3 linked regions of the Drosophila melanogaster genome follow. The protein of the gene in region 2 interacts with the protein of the main gene of each other region in a pairwise test. Each region holds a gene or a part of one and is shown on either strand. Other genes may lie near its edges.

Evidence for each region. The genes of interacting proteins can lie anywhere in the genome.
Region 1: the proteins of chic (region 2) and Rac1 interact in binary tests that used the Drosophila melanogaster proteins (3 or more experiments, as listed by UniProt).
Region 3: the proteins of chic (region 2) and ena interact in binary tests that used the Drosophila melanogaster proteins (3 or more experiments, as listed by UniProt).

The regions. Positions count from the first base shown.
Region 1 is NT_037436.4:1,300,379-1,304,248, reverse strand, and holds Rac1 (Rac1), read left to right. Parts: upstream 1-1,565; 5' UTR 1,566-1,902; coding exon 1,903-2,481; 3' UTR 2,482-3,370; downstream 3,371-3,870. Other genes in the region: Acat2 (Acetyl-CoA acetyltransferase 2), read right to left, coding at 26-211, 272-701, 756-868, 940-1,061, 1,156-1,198. UniProt on the Drosophila melanogaster protein: During various developmental processes, regulates changes in cell morphology in response to extracellular signals.
Region 2 is NT_033779.5:5,977,941-5,983,074, forward strand, and holds the start of chic (chickadee), read right to left. Parts: upstream 3,079-5,134; 5' UTR 3,013-3,078; exon of another isoform or gene 2,907-3,012; intron 2,542-2,906; exon of another isoform or gene 2,269-2,541; intron 2,162-2,268; exon of another isoform or gene 2,000-2,161; intron 1,765-1,999; 5' UTR 1,583-1,764; coding exon 1,472-1,582; intron 1-1,471. Other genes in the region: eIF4A (eukaryotic translation initiation factor 4A), read left to right, coding at 3,894-3,895, 5,070-5,134. UniProt on the Drosophila melanogaster protein: Binds to actin and affects the structure of the cytoskeleton. At high concentrations, profilin prevents the polymerization of actin, whereas it enhances it at low concentrations. By binding to PIP2, it may inhibit the formation of IP3 and DG.
Region 3 is NT_033778.4:19,153,456-19,161,220, forward strand, and holds the start of ena (enabled), read left to right. Parts: upstream 1-1,765; 5' UTR 1,766-2,019; coding exon 2,020-2,912; intron 2,913-5,278; coding exon 5,279-5,600; intron 5,601-5,664; coding exon 5,665-5,897; intron 5,898-6,327; coding exon of another isoform or gene 6,328-6,339; coding exon 6,340-6,580; intron 6,581-6,721; coding exon 6,722-7,447; intron 7,448-7,518; coding exon 7,519-7,677; intron 7,678-7,738; coding exon 7,739-7,765. UniProt on the Drosophila melanogaster protein: Functions, together with Abl, trio and fra, in a complex signaling network that regulates axon guidance at the CNS midline. Required in part for robo-mediated repulsive axon guidance. May be involved in lamellipodial dynamics.

The DNA of each region.
Region 1 (3,870 bases), on a different chromosome or scaffold from region 2:
AGAAGTGGAATTTCCGTGTAACTACCAATGCTTCCACAGCTGTGACTGGTCCCAGTCCCATCACCTTTGGCTCAATGCCACTCTGAGTCCAGCCCACAATCCTAGCCAGCGGCTTAAGACCCTTCCTGGCCACCTCCTCGCCGGACATCAGTAGTACGGCAGCAGCGGAGTCGTTGACGCCTGAGGCATTGCCAGCGGTTATAGAGCCGCCCTACATAAGCAAGAGAAAGTGGGTTAACTCTCGCTCTTCTTGTATTTATCTTAGACCCACCTCTTTGAAGGCTGCCCTGAGCTTCTGTATACCCTCGACGGTGCTGCCCGCCTTGATGTACTCATCCTTGCTGAATGTGGTCGTACCCTTGCGATCCTTGATCTCCACGGGCACAATCTCCTTGTCGAAGTAACCCTTTTTTTGGGCCTCCTCGGCTCGATTTTGCGACAGCACGGCATAGGCATCCTGGGCCTCACGACTGATGTTATACTTATCGGCCAGATTCTCGGCAGTGATGCCCATGTGTATGTTCTCCATGGCATCGGTTAGGCCGTCGTGGATCATCGAGTCCACCATAGTGCCCGGACCCATTTTGACGCCCTGCCGCAGATGCATGACGTGTGGAGCCAGGGACATGCTCTCCTGACCTCCTGCCACAACAATCTGTGCGTCTCCCGAGCGGATGGCCTGGTAACCCAGCGCTACAGTTCTGGAAATGGTAAAAACCATTGTAAATGTACGGAATTGTACGGGACAAACTCACTTTAAGCCGGAACCACATAGCATGTTTATGCCGTAGGCTGGCACCTGAATGGGCAGACCCGCCTTGAGTGAAGCCTGACGTGCTGGATTCTGACCCTGACCGGCGCTTAGAGCCTAACAAAGATATTTACATAACAAATAGATCGGTAAGATAGGAGGAGAAACAGTTATGATATGGGTCCCACCTGGCCCAAGATGACTTCGTTGACCTCCTGGCCCTCCACATTCGCCCGCCGGAGTACCTCCTGGATGACCACGCTGCCCAGGTCGGAGGCCTTCAGTTTAGAAAGCGTTCCATTGAAGCTACCTGTTGATTTTTCAGATTGGACAAACACGAAGAGAAAGTTTCCAATTAGAATGTGGTTATCGTGTATGGTGCAGCCGATTTATCTTGGTTTTACCAATGGGCGTGCGGGCGGCGGACACGATGAACACGTCAGACATTCTGGATGGGCAAGGAACAGGTGTTATTGACTTGGCTATTGAGCAGCAAATAAATTCTAATTTTCGAAATTGTATTATTTGCTGCCAGAAGTGTGACCAGGTGCAGCCAAAGCCCAGAAGCTGCACTTCTGGGGCCCAGCCCTACTAAAAACAGCTTGTTCTCACTTCAAATCACTGACATAAACAGGAAGACAATGAAATTATATATTTTGTAATTCGGATTTAATTATAAGTAAATGCGAAACTTAAGGGTTTTATGTTTGCTTTAAGGACGAAGCCTTGAAATAATTTACAAATCTTAGGGTGACCATTTCAATGCAGTTTTAATTTGTTTTAGTATTTTACAGCTTTCCCATGGTAAATTTGAACAGTCCAGCCGCGGTCACACTGCAGTACACAGAAAATTTACTTTTTTTGTTGAGAAAATTAGGGAAATTAACGCACAAAACGCGAGTTAAAGAGGCCCAGAACGTAAGGCGCGATCATCAGTCGCCCCGAGGACCACAAGGCACTGGAAAAGGAGTCGCGCTTCCAGAGATAACCCCGCAAAAGGACCCACGCAAGCAACAGTCCTCCGCCGCCGCCCCAAAAAGAACCAAAAACGCCTGAAGAAGAAGCACCCCCGCAATCAGAAATCTGCAATCTTCAATCTCCAATCTCTAGGCACATAGCACTCCAGTCCAGAAAGTCGAGGAAATCGAACCATGCAGGCGATCAAGTGCGTCGTCGTGGGCGACGGAGCCGTGGGAAAGACCTGCCTGCTGATCAGCTACACGACCAATGCCTTTCCCGGCGAGTACATACCCACCGTGTTCGACAACTACTCGGCCAACGTGATGGTGGACGCCAAGCCCATCAACCTGGGCCTGTGGGATACGGCCGGGCAGGAGGACTACGACCGACTGAGGCCACTGTCTTATCCCCAGACCGATGTCTTCCTCATCTGCTTCTCGCTGGTGAATCCGGCATCGTTCGAGAACGTGCGGGCCAAGTGGTATCCGGAGGTGCGCCACCACTGCCCCAGCACGCCCATCATCCTGGTGGGCACCAAGCTGGATTTGCGCGACGACAAGAACACAATCGAAAAGCTGAGGGACAAGAAACTGGCGCCCATCACCTATCCGCAGGGCCTGGCCATGGCCAAGGAAATCGGAGCGGTCAAGTATCTGGAGTGCTCGGCCCTGACGCAGAAGGGTCTGAAAACCGTTTTCGACGAGGCCATCCGGTCGGTTTTGTGCCCCGTGCTGCAGCCCAAGTCCAAGCGCAAGTGCGCCCTGCTCTAAAAGAGTTAGACAGTTGGTCGGTGGTGTTCCACCGACGGACTCTGCTTAAACGTAATATTATTAACTATAAAACCATTATGTAACCTAAGCGTGGCCAGGCTAAATGGCTCATCCGTAGTTTCTTTGTTACAATTTTGCCACTAATTTCCGCTGCTAGGGGGGGATTCCCCCAACCCAACCCAACCCAACTCTTGCTTTTGTTTCGTTTCCGAGTTCTGAGTTTGTTTCGAGTGTTCTGTAATTCATAATCCAATTATTCTGTTTATTCGTGCATTAATTTCAACTAAAAGTTAAAAGCGAGATGTTTCTAGACGAAATGGAGAACTGTAAACTCTAACTGTATTTTGTATTATTTAATAACTTTTGTAATTAAAATTAATGTTGTAAAACTGAGGTAAAACCAAAAACAAAACAAAACAAAAAAAAAAAAACAAACGAAAAACCTAAAAAAAATGTGAGACAAGTACGAGAATAGCCGCATAATGAGCATAAAGCATAGATGTCGCATAGATGTTGATCGAAGGTCCTGCGGAAGGGATCAGGATATTGAGTCAGTAAAGTAAACGTTCCATTGCAATTACACTTACATTATTACATACTTGTATTTAGATGTTGTTGGATATCGAAGCGACGGCGCGGGCGAGTAACAACTTTTTAAACTTTTGCTAGATCCAGGAACTATCAATATATATACATGTATGTATAAGATGAAAAGTCCTTCGTATACTATGTACTGAATTAAAGGCATCAAACTGAGCAACTTTGAATACTTTGTATTTTAAACGACAGATATTCAAGAAACAAAAGAAAAACAAAAAACATGAACGAAGCCAAGATAATTATATAAATGTGTCTATTTCAATGGAAATCAATAAAGCATAATAAAAGGAGTTTTGGTTTATTTATTGTGATATGTTTCTTATATTCTTCTGACATATCATATGTAGTGAATACTAGAAAACGATCTGCGCATATTAGGGAACTATGAGTGGGAAAGAGCGTAAAACTAGTTTTAGCTAAGTCGAATCACTCATCGAAAAGATATCTGAGTGCTCTTTTCTTCTCCAAGATCTTCGCAGCACCAGCACATATACTTACTTACATAGCTCACGCATTCAAATATTCTTGATTGTTTATCAAACTCCATTCGTCAATGGCCGACATTGGCCCTCGCTCGAGTGCTCACTGTACCCACAACGGAGACAGACTTATCAACGCCGAAGAACGAATTATTTTGCTTATCTCGGCGAAAGTCGAGAACCGAAAATAATCTAAATCAGCTTGAAACAAAATAACCGATTCCCGGAGCTCCTCACTTCTGGTTCTACACCGAGAAAGAAGTATTTATGGTTAGCATGAAAATAAAATATAAATATATAGAAGTAAATA
Region 2 (5,134 bases):
TAGCGAAAATTCCACAAGTGCCAAAAATCTCCTAAATTGGTAGTTTTTCAATGAATGAACATGCCACACGATGGCACTCAGATTCTGTCACCCAAAGTCGGTTTTCTCAATGCAAAGCCATGTATATAAATGTGTTTATCATAAACTTTTATTAGCAGCCCAAAAACACAACTCTCTCACAAGGTCCAGCTCAGCTGATCAATCGGAAAAGGAAAAAGCTAAGTATTCACAATGATTCATCCGAATCAAGATCAAAACTGGGTAACTTGGGTAATGCGAAGTTGGGAAAAACAACAAAGGCACCTGCGAAGGCAGCGAGAGATAATAAAACGAAAGTGATGCGCGTGCAGAAATGGCAGGTAGATAAAAGAATGAGTGTGATGGTGAGGTGACGTAGGCAGCGGATCGAATTTGGCCAAAATCGGTTCCTAATCTAATAAGCGGCGAGATGAACTTCATTCGACGGACAAAGCACTAGGGAGTGGCTGCCCGAATCGAGTGGAATCTCGCTGGGAGAGCGAGCAGGATAAGAGCACATGGATTCGTATTTGTATTCGGATTCGGAGTCGACAGGAAGTTGCACACGCACACAGACAGCCACACTCACAAAAGGGCGAAAACGTGGCGCGCATACGAGAAATACTCAGAGCATTCGCATTCGAAGGTAGCAGATTCAGATTCAGAATCGAAATCAGTAAAAGAAGCCGAAGCGGAGTCAACTCCACTCAATTCGATTCACTCTGCGCTGGTGACGCGGCATCGCATGCTCAAGATATTTTCTGTACTTCTGTTCGTTTCATTTTGGTTCTGTTCTGTTTGGTTCTGTATTTCGCTCCGATAAAGAGCATTTATTTTGGCCGTCGCCGCAGAGGAAACGGTCCGTCTGTATTGAGTGCGATAAAGGCGAGCGATAGCGAAGGGGTGGGGCTGATGCCAGGCGCCTGTGGGCTGCATTATCAGGAACCAGTGTTGCACAGCACCGCAGACATTCGAACCGGCTGCGCTGATATCAGATTTCCCGGTCCCGGCCCCGCCCCCGCTCTCCACACCACACACTCATCGCCGCATGCAAGTGCATTGGTGATTACCGCGAAGCGAAGCTGCACCTCCTTAGTCACCGATAAACAGAAATCCATCCGTATCGGCTAGGTCGCCCAATTGGTCTCCCTGCTGGGTTGTATGATCACGCACACTCCCTCAAAAGCGTAGGCGGGAGAGGAGGGGGTAGCGGGCCTGCGCAGGAGTGGCGCTGCAGGGGGTGAAACTGACAAGGGCGAGGGCGAAGGGGTGGGAGTTGCTCTTTATCAAATGAAAGTTATCATGGCGGCCGCGAGAGGAAGACAGCGCGAGAGTCACACCCTTGAACTTGCGAAAATTCATTGTCAACTATCCGTTTTTCCGTCCGAATTCCATTCTATGGGTTTTCCCAACCGCTTTCCGTCCATTAGTCCATTCCGTTCGACGTACTCACCTCAAAGCCACTGGACTGCGCCCAAATGTTGCCGTCGTGGCCGGCGATGCACGCCTTGGTCACGCACTGCGAGGCCAGGAGTTGGTTGTCCACATAATCTTGCCAGCTCATGGTGCTTTGTTTGTCGTGGGTGCGGATTAAGTTGAACTGATATATATGGATCTGGATATGGATCGCTGTTGCTTTACCGCACGGCGAGTCGCACTTTCGTTTCGGGGGTCACACGAAATTGGCAGGGAGACAAAGAAAAACCGCAACACCGACGATTTTTTCTTGGGGTAACTTACTTTCAACTGCAACGAGAGGTGGAGAAAGAGAGAGAGAGAGAGAGATGGATTAACATTTATCAAATCGTATCGTATTTTATCATGCGGCAGTGGGTGTTGCATCCGCCCTTGACAAATTACCGGGTATCGGCGGAATTGTGTTATGCACATTTATGTATATACATATAAGTATATATATCTAGTGATTTTGATTGTGATGCATTGCACAAAGCGCCTAATTTTCCGCCTCCGAAAAACTCACATATATACACACACACGCACGGGGGATGAGACCAAGAGCAAGAGCAAGACCAAGGAGACCAAGACAGACAGAAACAGAAACCGTACGCCGCAGCTCCACACACACGTCCGACTCGCTGGGAATTTTCGAAGCGTTCGAGGCGGATTTCAAAAGTCGAATGAGCGCAAAGCAGAACCATAAACCGATTTTGAATTCGAGAAAACCCACTCGAGAGAGTGAGAGATGGAGAGAGAGTGGCGAAAGAGTGCGCGCTGCAGGGGGCTGCTTGCCTTGCCTCTGCTCCAAAGCGCTCAATTCCAAGCCGTGAGTCACCCGTTCACTCACCCACTGCCACTGCTTTCGAGTGGGGCAGAGAGTGAGCGAGCGAGAGCCGTAGCCAGGGCGAGTGCAACGGTGCGCCTGGAGTGGGTGTGTGAGCGAGACGGTCGTACGAGGCGGGCCGTTATTAATCAGCCGGCTGCGGACAATGCAAATGAGCGAGTGAGAGCAGACGATGACTCAACGGCGGCTCTCCGAGTGAGTGTTATGAATCGTCACTTTGTTGGCCGGCACTGAGTAACTGTCATAAATTAAAAATAGCCTTTAATTTCAACGCCTATATGTTCGAATCCCATCTCACATATCATAATGTGCTGCGCTGCACCGCACCCGCAATATGTTAGCATTGGCTGCTTGACAAATCGAATGGAATACCGAGTACCGAATGCCGTATGCCGAATACCGACCGGCTGCTGCTGAACTTTTCCCACTTAATTTTTTGCACACTTATACACACAGGCATACACACACACACACCCGCAGACGGCGACGCACAGCCAACGCGGTTGGCCAAGTAGCGCGTACATGTGTGGGTTTTCGCCATTTAAGGCGTGCACCCAGCACGAAAGTCGCTTTGTACGCAATTTACCCAAAGTGTTGGTCGGTTTTCGATTTTTGTCGAACCACCCCACGTTCAGTAAGTCTAGAGAAATCTCTTTCTAAACGGATTTCCAGGAAACCCACGGCACTCACACTGTTCACACGCTGCGGTAAAAATTCAGAGTGACCGTCGACAAGCGGTAGTACTGGAACACAAGTCGCTGTTCGCTCGAAACAATCGATGTGTGCCAAAATTCGATCACGATATTCCTCGCAATCGATTGTATTCGCTATTTGCCTTCGTAAGTCCCGGTTAGACCAGCGGCATGAAAAGTTTAAATTCACTTCCACATTCGAGTACTATGAGATAAGATTACTGTACTTAAACTCAAAAAGATTCAAAACAACACTGATCGTTAAGCTACTAAGACAAATAGCTGGCCGGTTCCAGTCCCACGATTTAAAAACAGTTCACTGAATAGCAGCATATGTAAAATTCCATACTTTCATATATTTGTATAATATGATTCACATAAGGTTGTTGTTCAAATGGTTGAATACTACAATTAAGTCTTTACAACAAGAGAATGTAATCTGTTGGAAAACAATATTACAATCAAATTTATTAAACAAATATAAGATTCGGGTTTAAATATTTATACTGGTGGAAAACTTTGATGGGCGTAATATCGATAGCAAATAAAATAGCGAAGTCAGGCACCCCAGCTCTGGGTCTGCAGCCCTGAACTTCAAGTGGCACCTCCAAAATAACGTAAAAAAGTGCAAAATAATACAAATTGAATTCAAAATATTTGCATTATTTTATGCTTTGTTTTTCTTTACCATACACACTGCGAAGCCGCAGCGAAATTGCCGGATATCCGCTAACATCTGGCGATAGTTGGCGATCGATCTATCGATAGTCGCTAATGTTTTCTTACATCACTAAAACTTTTGCAAGATGGAGCCTCTTTTGCTTGGTTTTAACAAATCAGTAGCAGCACGTGTATAAAAAGTGCCAAATAATTTTCAGAAAATGTTAGTATATACCCTAGATTAAGCGTTTGAAATGTAAAAAGCCGCAAGGCGATCTTGTGCCGCATCGATTCCGCAACTGCTTAGCATAATTTCCGCGTGTTTTAATGCAAAAAACGCGATTTTAAATTTCTGACGGTCAAAATGAGTGGAAAAAAATTACACGCCCGTATGACAGTGCAGGGAGTGGGAGTGAGAGGCAGCCACCATGCGAGCGAGAGAGAGCGAGCGCAGTGGTTGCTCCAAGAGAGTTTTGTTGCTGGACTCGGTCTTTGCACCCCTCCCCCTTCGCCTTGGCGAAACCTAGAACTCCGAACTGGGGACTTTTGTTGAAGTCCGGTGACGTCGGTGTCGCCACTTGACTGGATTTTATGCACTCTCGTCCGTCCGTTCGCTTGACTCATGACTGGACAATGACGCAGACCGCTGATTCTATCTTTAGTGGACGACGGCATTCGTGGGCTGATTTAGCCTTGCTCCAACTCAATTTTCGATTTGCTTTGGAATATTTGCCTGTCAGTCGGTTTTTTTTTTCTATCCCCACCCCGCCGTACTGTCAAAACTACTGCTATTTTCGATCAACTACTACCATTCGCAACTGGTGTTAGGCAACACTGGCGCCACTGTTACGTGCTAATATCGCTCGGCTGCTCTCGCCCGTTGACATTGACACGAACGACACTAGGGTCGTCCCGCTCGCACACGCTCAGGGGCGGACTCTCGCCGCTTGTCGCTCAAAAAGGCTGCCTAGCTATCGCTTTCGGTCTCATACGTAAAGTCACCGCTTCGCAGAGCGCATCGCAGCACAAACGTAACGGACTAAAAGCAAAGCGCTCGATAGCTCGAGAAAACAACACAGTCGGCGTTCGGCCCGAATTCTCCGTTATTCGTTCTAGACAAATAGGCAAACAGTTGATTGAGTGAACCGGGCCCAAGCCGTCGAAATTCAGGATATAAGTTTACCTAGTCAATTCTTTATTGTTGATAATGTGAGTGGTTGCCAAGCGGCGCTCGCGGTTTTCGATTCTCCCTCCACCAGCCTTACTTACTTTTCGCTTTTCTGCCATTCGCCATAACCAACAATTGTGGCTGGAAAATTTTTTACCCCCGTCCCGCTACTGCTTTTGTTGTTGTTTCCACTGTTCCGCCCCACTAACGCATTCTCGCTTTCTTGCAGGGATGACCGAAATGAGATACCTCAGGATGGCCCCGCCAGCATGGAACCCGAGGGCGTCATCGAGT
Region 3 (7,765 bases), on a different chromosome or scaffold from region 2:
TTGTGGTTTGCAACACCTTATAAGATCAACATAAATGTTGAAACTAACTGAGCACGGATTTTCTCGCAGTGCAGGCACGGCAGGAAGCGCTCCTCCCGTGACGAGTTCATCGCGCAGTGATATTCGATATTGATTGAGACCCCCACTTGTCCCCCAGCACTTCTTGATGTTTGCCATGGGCAAACTGTTTTGAGTCTCCTGACTGCCTGGCAACCTACTTTGTGACTCCGCTGCTCACATGTGTGGGCCCTGTTTGTTTTTATGATTTTTTTTTTTCCAGTCCGATGTCTGCCTGCGGGTCTTTATGGACAGCCATATGGATTACTCCAGTACTCGCATTCGTAGTGCCCCTTAGAAATATTTAGTTGCCAAATCATTTAAGCCGCGGCACACGCTCTGGTCCAAAAAAAAAAAAAAACAAAACAAAAATGGTAAAAAAAAAAAACGAACTGAACCATTCTGACAGAGCCATTAAAGCTAGCCGGTAATCGGTTGGCTCAAATCAGAGATCGGTGAACCACCAACAGCCACTACACAACCACTTACAATGGGCCACAATAATGTTAATTGGAAATAACGTTTAGGAATTGTTGTGGGGCAAAAAACCGAATCAGACTGAAACATAAGCCAGCGAGTCAGAAACAGAGGCTCAGATCTCTGAGAGCTGAGTGCTCCAAGTTGAGATAGACAATGTTGTATATGAATTTTTCATAACATGCTACAAGCTGTGCCTCCAGGTACCTCCCCCCCCCCATTTCCCGCCGCCGTCGCCGCTTTTCGCCGCCAAAGAACAGTTGAAATGAAGGAAACAAAAACGCAGCGAGCGAGGGAAAAATACTTGTAATAGTCACTCGAGGGGGAAATATAAATTATTGAGCTCGTTTCTTAAGTAATTATCGCACTGACGGACGGAACCAACTTACTGAATCACAAACACTGACCGAATGACTAACTGGCGGATGGACAGACTGACCAACTGGTTAAACGACGGTCACGAGACGTCGGCGAGGCTTCAAGATTGCCGGCAGAAAAAAGCCTCGGGCGCAACTTTGTAAGATTCGAGAGCTTATCGCATACCCTTCGAAACTGCATAAGAAATTTGAGATGGAACTTGCGCAATTTCATAGCTAGGCGAAAAGTTGTAAGGGTATGCCCTACAATTCATTGTATCATTGTAGCTCTCTGAAGATATTGCATATTTTAGGGAAACTGCTTGAAACTCTGTTTCAGTGCCTGAAAACTTCTCAAAATATAAACTTTTGAGTATTAAAATAAAATCGCCTTTCAATAATCTGAATCTTACATCCTTCCCTCAACGAAAATCGTGTAAAACGAGAACGTTTTTTCTCAATAGGTTCTATGCAGACTACTTGCCCTCACGTCTTTTAATTGTCATGCCATTTGGGAATCGTCTGAAGCGACTGTGAGTCAGGTTGTGGTCTCTCCATCTACCTGGCCATTATGCTCGGTTCCCAGCTCGGGGTCAATCCAGCTCAACATCCATAGCACATCTCATCATTTCTCATTATTTTATTGACTTTGAAGTGTAATTATTTGCCTTTTAGACGAATTCAAAGCGCAGCAGCCGCTAAAATGAGAGAAAAATACAGATTGTGAGCCGATACTCAGTTTCTCGCTCACGTCTTTTCTGCTCATTCGCCTTTAGATATATTTTTTTTCTCGGCTTTTGTTTGTCTTGGCCTCGACTGAGAGACCGTTTCGGTCTCTGAGACCCAGTCGCGATCTCGGTCTGGATCTTGGCTTTAGTCTCCAGCGGGTCTTGAGTGCGTTCAGACGTGTGCAGCTGAGATCTTGGAACGACGAATGGTGATCGGTGATCTCTGATCAGTGACCAGTGGGCAGAGAGCGAATAGCCAAGATCCAAGAGCCTAGGCAAACATAAATACGATACATCCGATCCGATCCGATCGTTCGGTTTCATAGTGTGCTTAAGTGTGGGATCGATCGTGGGATCTGTTTAGTGTCTGTGACGCCTCTGCAAATATTGGCCAACGGTTAATGGCCATGAAGAAGCTCTACGCGAAGACCTCGTTCACCAGCAAGAAGCCATCGAGTGCCGCCAATTCCACTCCGATATTGGCCTACCACCAGCAACAGCATCAGCAGCCGGGCAATGGCATTTGCGAGTTCCAGGTGGTGGCACCTGGTCACTCCGGTGAGCTAATGATACGCCGCAGCCAAAGTATGCACCACAAGATGTCGCCTCCAGTCGGCGGCCTGGGCTCCAAGTCGGAGTACTACAGCATTGAGGAGCTGCAGGAGCTGGATTTGCTGGACTATCGTCATCCCATGTACCATCATTATCAGCAGCAGGAGCTGAGGCAGCGCTACCATGAGCACGAGCAGTTGGTGCTGCAGTTACCCAAGGCTACTAGTCCAAAGGCAGGACCCATCTATGAGGCACCACAGAGATCTCAGCAGCAGCAGGATCAGATGTTGTATGTACCAACGGCAGCGCAAAGAGATTCATCATCAAGTGCTGCAGCCACATCTATAGCCAGCTCATCTACCCTAACTTCATCCCCATCGCCATCCTCCTCTTCATCTCTGATCTTTTCCACTTTGCGCAAATGCGTTTCGCCCTCGAATCCCTCGGTGAATCCGAACCAACCCTCAAAAACTCAACCCTCCAAACTGGGCTGTTCCATGTCGTTTTCAATTAGAACGACAACGGCAACAGCAGCCACAGCCGCAGCAGCAAATGCAGCAACAGCAACACTATCGACACAGCAGCAACAACAGCAGGCACAGCAGCAACACAAGCAACATCTCTATAGCAACATACATCATTATCTGATCCGACAACAACAGCAGAAACAACACTACACATTACAACGTCGCCATAATTCGGTCAAAGATAAATTCATTGGGGGCATTACAACGATTTTTGCGTATGTGTAACCCACTTCCCTATGCGTCTGTCCTTGGTTGGGTTCTGTAATAATTCCCATATTTCCCCACTTTTCTCTACTATACTTCTTCAATCTCAGCACGTAGTACTTGGCCCTGGACTTTTGAATGCGTTTTACAGCTTGGTGAGATCGTTCGTAAATCAAAGAACTCTTAACCCCCACAGAGCAGCCGCCGTCGTACTCTCCGGTTTAATCATAATTATAATTTAACGCCAATTAAGCTGGAAAACGCTATCGTGTGCACACGAATCTGCATCTTGCACTCGGCTGCAGTTTAAAAACTTAAGCTTAACGCACGAATAAATCCCCAAGGCATAGAAAATTTCACCTGCCACATATTGAAAATGCTCCCAAAGCGATTTTCCAGTGGCTCAATTATATTAGCATCCCATTTAACTGGCCATTTGCGGGGCACTTTTCGATTTTCATTTGGGTTTTCCACTCAGCTGCACAGCGCAAAAAAACGATTAAGATGTTAGTTTTTACTGAAATATTTAATTGCTTTCTTTAACGATTAAAATACTATGTATCACATGTGTCGATTTTACGATTCATGAACTCATTTCCATTTCTTTACAATCTAATGTAATTAAAACAGTCGTACAGTTCTATGATTGTAGCTTAAATCTCGGAATTGGCACGTTTAATAGGCACTTATTACGTGTAAAATCGAATGAAAGCATTTATGCACTGAATGTTAGTCACAAAATGCATTACTAATCCCAACTACTTTGCTGCTGCGAACTACTGAAATAATTTTAGTTGCATTAAAATTGTTTAAAAGAGTACAACACTTTTACAAAAGCAATTCTTTTGCTCACTCCGACTTCCTATAATTATTTTCGAATATGTAGTATCCAATTTATGAGATATAAATCGATTCGATTGTAAAAAACAGAAATTTAAAAAAACTGATTGACCGCTATTGTTTCGCAGTTTCTCATAGTGTGCAGAAAAAAAAAACTTCACTTTCGTTGCCACGAATTTCGATGCAAATCAAAGCGGACAGGCTCATAAGACTTAGCTCCAAACTGTCGGTGGTTATATAAGGCCCTGAAACGGCGCACAGCTGTGCCAGCCGCCAGAGTGCGACTCGGATTCGGATTGAGATTCGTCCGTCTGTCCAGCCGTCCGTACCGCCGATCTGCGCACTCCATTTAAGTGCAAAACTACTTGCGGCTTTTGGCCGGGCCAAGTCTGTAGCGAGAATACTGCCGACTCGACTCGTTTGGCGGCTGCTCTCCGTCATTATCTCTATGTGTCCCCCAGTAACACACAACTCGGAGCAACTTGGAGCAACTTGGAGCTGCTCAGGCAACTTGGAGCGGTGCAGGCTAGCAAAAACAAAAAAAGGGGCAGAGAAAAAAAGAAAAAAAAAAAGAACGGAGCTATAGGATAGAAAGAACACCACATAGCCAAGTTGAGCAAAAGGCAAGGCAACTCGTCATCGCCTTTGCATTTTTCCAATGAAGGCGTTCATTTGTCGCTGGCCATGTTTACTTCACTGGCTGACTTTAATTGTCAACTCAACTGAGTGTCCCGGGGGGAGAAAATGCTAAAGGTTGAATGCAGCATATACACGTTCATATTAGAACTTTCATTAGAATCATTTAATCGGTCCGTGCGACTCGAGACGATCATCTGGCTGGATGACAGGTGTGCGGGCATACAAAGAAATGCATTGCACTTCCTGTCCTGAAACCGATGGGATTAGAGGGGAGTCGAGGGTATACATAGATCAAAGCCCTTGCTCACTTGAGGCGTGTGAAAAGTCTGGAAGATCACGGTGCAGTAAAGTGCAGTTGAATGAGTTCTTCAAGGGGCAAATTGTAGAGCCGATCTAATGATCTGAAAACGACTGCTCATTGCGACATTCTTTCTGGGAAGTCTTAATCGAGTCTAAGAAGTTTTTTTTATTATGACGGAAAATCGATTTCTATGAATATATGTAGAAGCTTTCCATAGAACAATATATACTTTTTACTTCCAATCCCACGAAAGCCATCAATAAATTTGTATCTCTTTTATTGAACTCGTTTAGTGCAAATAATAAAGTTGCCAAATTTGACTAATTTGTTAGCACAACTTCCGTTTCGTTTCCCACGATCTTTTAAGACTTTAAAAGAGTTAACATCATAAAATGGAATTTTTGTACATACATATATGTTTCTCGCACATTTTCATATCTTTTCTTCTCAAGGCAAGGGCTATTCCCTATAATAAATTTTCAGCTCGAACTTCTTGAAGTGTGTTAAGTCCTCATCATTTCCATACACATTCAAGGTTCCATTCCATACCATTTAAGTCAGCCAACTAACCATAATATTCACACTTATTTCTTGCAGTGAGCAGAGTATTATCGGGGCGCGGGCCTCTGTGATGGTGTACGATGACAACCAGAAGAAGTGGGTGCCATCGGGCAGCTCGTCGGGATTGAGCAAGGTGCAGATCTACCACCACCAGCAGAACAACACGTTCCGTGTGGTGGGACGAAAGCTGCAGGATCACGAGGTGGTCATCAACTGCTCCATTCTGAAGGGACTGAAGTACAATCAGGCCACGGCAACATTTCATCAGTGGCGCGATTCGAAATTCGTTTACGGCTTGAACTTCTCGAGCCAAAATGATGCGGAGAACTTTGCTAGGGCCATGATGCATGCCCTGGAAGTAAGTATATCTCTTTCACAACCAATATCTGTATCATTCGCTAACATTTGAATGTCTTTCTCAGGTGCTCAGTGGTCGCGTGGCGAACAACCCAGGTGGACCGCCCACAAATGGCAATGGCTATGAGGAGGACATGGGCTATCGCACGATGACCAGCGAGGATGCAGCCATACTGCGTCAGAACAACAGCATAGGTGGGCACGTCACGCCCTCGGCCCAGACGCCCACCTCGCAGACCAACCAGAATAACATCCCCCAGAGCCCGCCGACGCCCCAGGGTCATCATCGCACCAGCAGGTAGGCTCCATTTCCATTAATTGTGTTGGATACGGCATGCTCATTGCTGTGGAAAAACCCATTAGCTTAGACTCGATTGATCTAACCATTCAAGAAATATTCAATTTTATGAGAATAAGTCATTAGCACATATTGGTCGGAAGGAACATCAGTTTTCTTTGAACATTATAAAGCTGAAAATCCGTGGTTGTTATAAATGAATCCTAAGATCAAAAATTTCATTAGTCTTCAGATGCAGATACATTTTCTTGCAAGATATGTAATGTAGGATACAATTGTAGGATTGCATTACGCAAGTTGGGAACAATTTCTATCCACTTACACATGAGCAGTAGGGGCCAACACTTTTATCCGAGTTCTCGTGTCTCATCTCTCATATCACTCATTGATCCATCCCCATCCCACGCCGAACCTTTGCTCACCCAAAAAGGAATTCCCTCAGCGCCCCACCGGCACCACAGCCCCAACAGCAGCAGCAGCAGCAGCAGGCGCAGCAAATGGGTCAGCCAGGATCCCACTATGGACCCACTGGAAATGGACCCACTTCGAATGGCCTGCCACAGCAGGTGAACTCACAGATTCCGCCGGCACCGCAGCAGCAGCCACAACAGCAACAGTTTCAGCAGCAGCAGCAGCAACAGCAATATCAGCAAATGGTCCAGGCGGGCTATGCGCCCTCTCAGGTGAGTTCGATATGCTATAACCTCACCCCGTCCCAGTTTCCTCATGCGGTATTTCTGTTTCATTTCATTGGCAAATTGGCTTGATCCTGAATCTGAATCTCCTGAAAACCCCGACACACCACCACCATCACACCCCAACAGCAGTATCAGCAACCCCACTACGTGCTCTCCAATTCTAATCCCAATCTAACTGTGCACCAATACCCGACACAGCAGGCGCAGCAGCAGCCACCGCAAGCGCCACAGCCGCCGCTCCAGAACGGTGGAATGTACATGGTGGGTCATGGTCATCTACCGAGCTCCGCGAGCGCCAACAGTGTTGTGTACGCCAGCCAGCAGCAGATGCTCCCGCAGGCGCATCCACAGGCACCTCAGGCGCCGACGATGCCAGGTCCGGGCTACGGTGGTCCACCAGTACCTCCGCCCCAGCAGCAGGCAGAGAATCCGTACGGTCAGGTACCCATGCCGCCGCCAATGAATCCGTCACAGCAACAGCAGCCAGGTCAGGTGCCTCTAAACCGGATGAGCAGCCAGGGTGGTCCAGGTGGCCCACCGGCTCCTGCTCCGCCCCCGCCACCACCCAGTTTTGGTGGAGCTGCTGGAGGAGGACCACCACCACCAGCCCCGCCACAGATGTTCAACGGCGCACCGCCGCCGCCAGCCATGGGCGGTGGACCACCGCCGGCTCCACCGGCACCGCCAGCAATGGGTGGCGGACCACCGCCAGCACCGGGCGGACCAGGGGCACCACCACCACCGCCTCCGCCGCCGGGATTGGGAGGAGCGCCTAAGAAGGAAGATCCCCAGGCAGATCTCATGGGCTCGCTGGCCTCCCAGCTGCAGCAGATCAAGCTCAAAAAGAATAAGGTAAAATATCAATTTATTTAATTTATACAACTTGACTAAGCATTGTATTACCGTTTATTTTTTATTTTTAGGTCACCACCTCTGCTCCGGAGAATAGCGGCAGCAGCACGTCCAGTGGCGGCAGCGGCAACTATGGAACCATAGGACGAAGCTCTAATGGCATGGCCTCCATGATGGACGAGATGGCCAAGACGCTGGCACGACGACGCGCCCAAGCAGAAAAGAAGGATGTAAGTCAACTTTGTTTAACTTATTCCATAATCAATATCTTAATTCGTTGGCATATTGCAGCCCGATCCTGAAGCCGAAGTGAAAAAA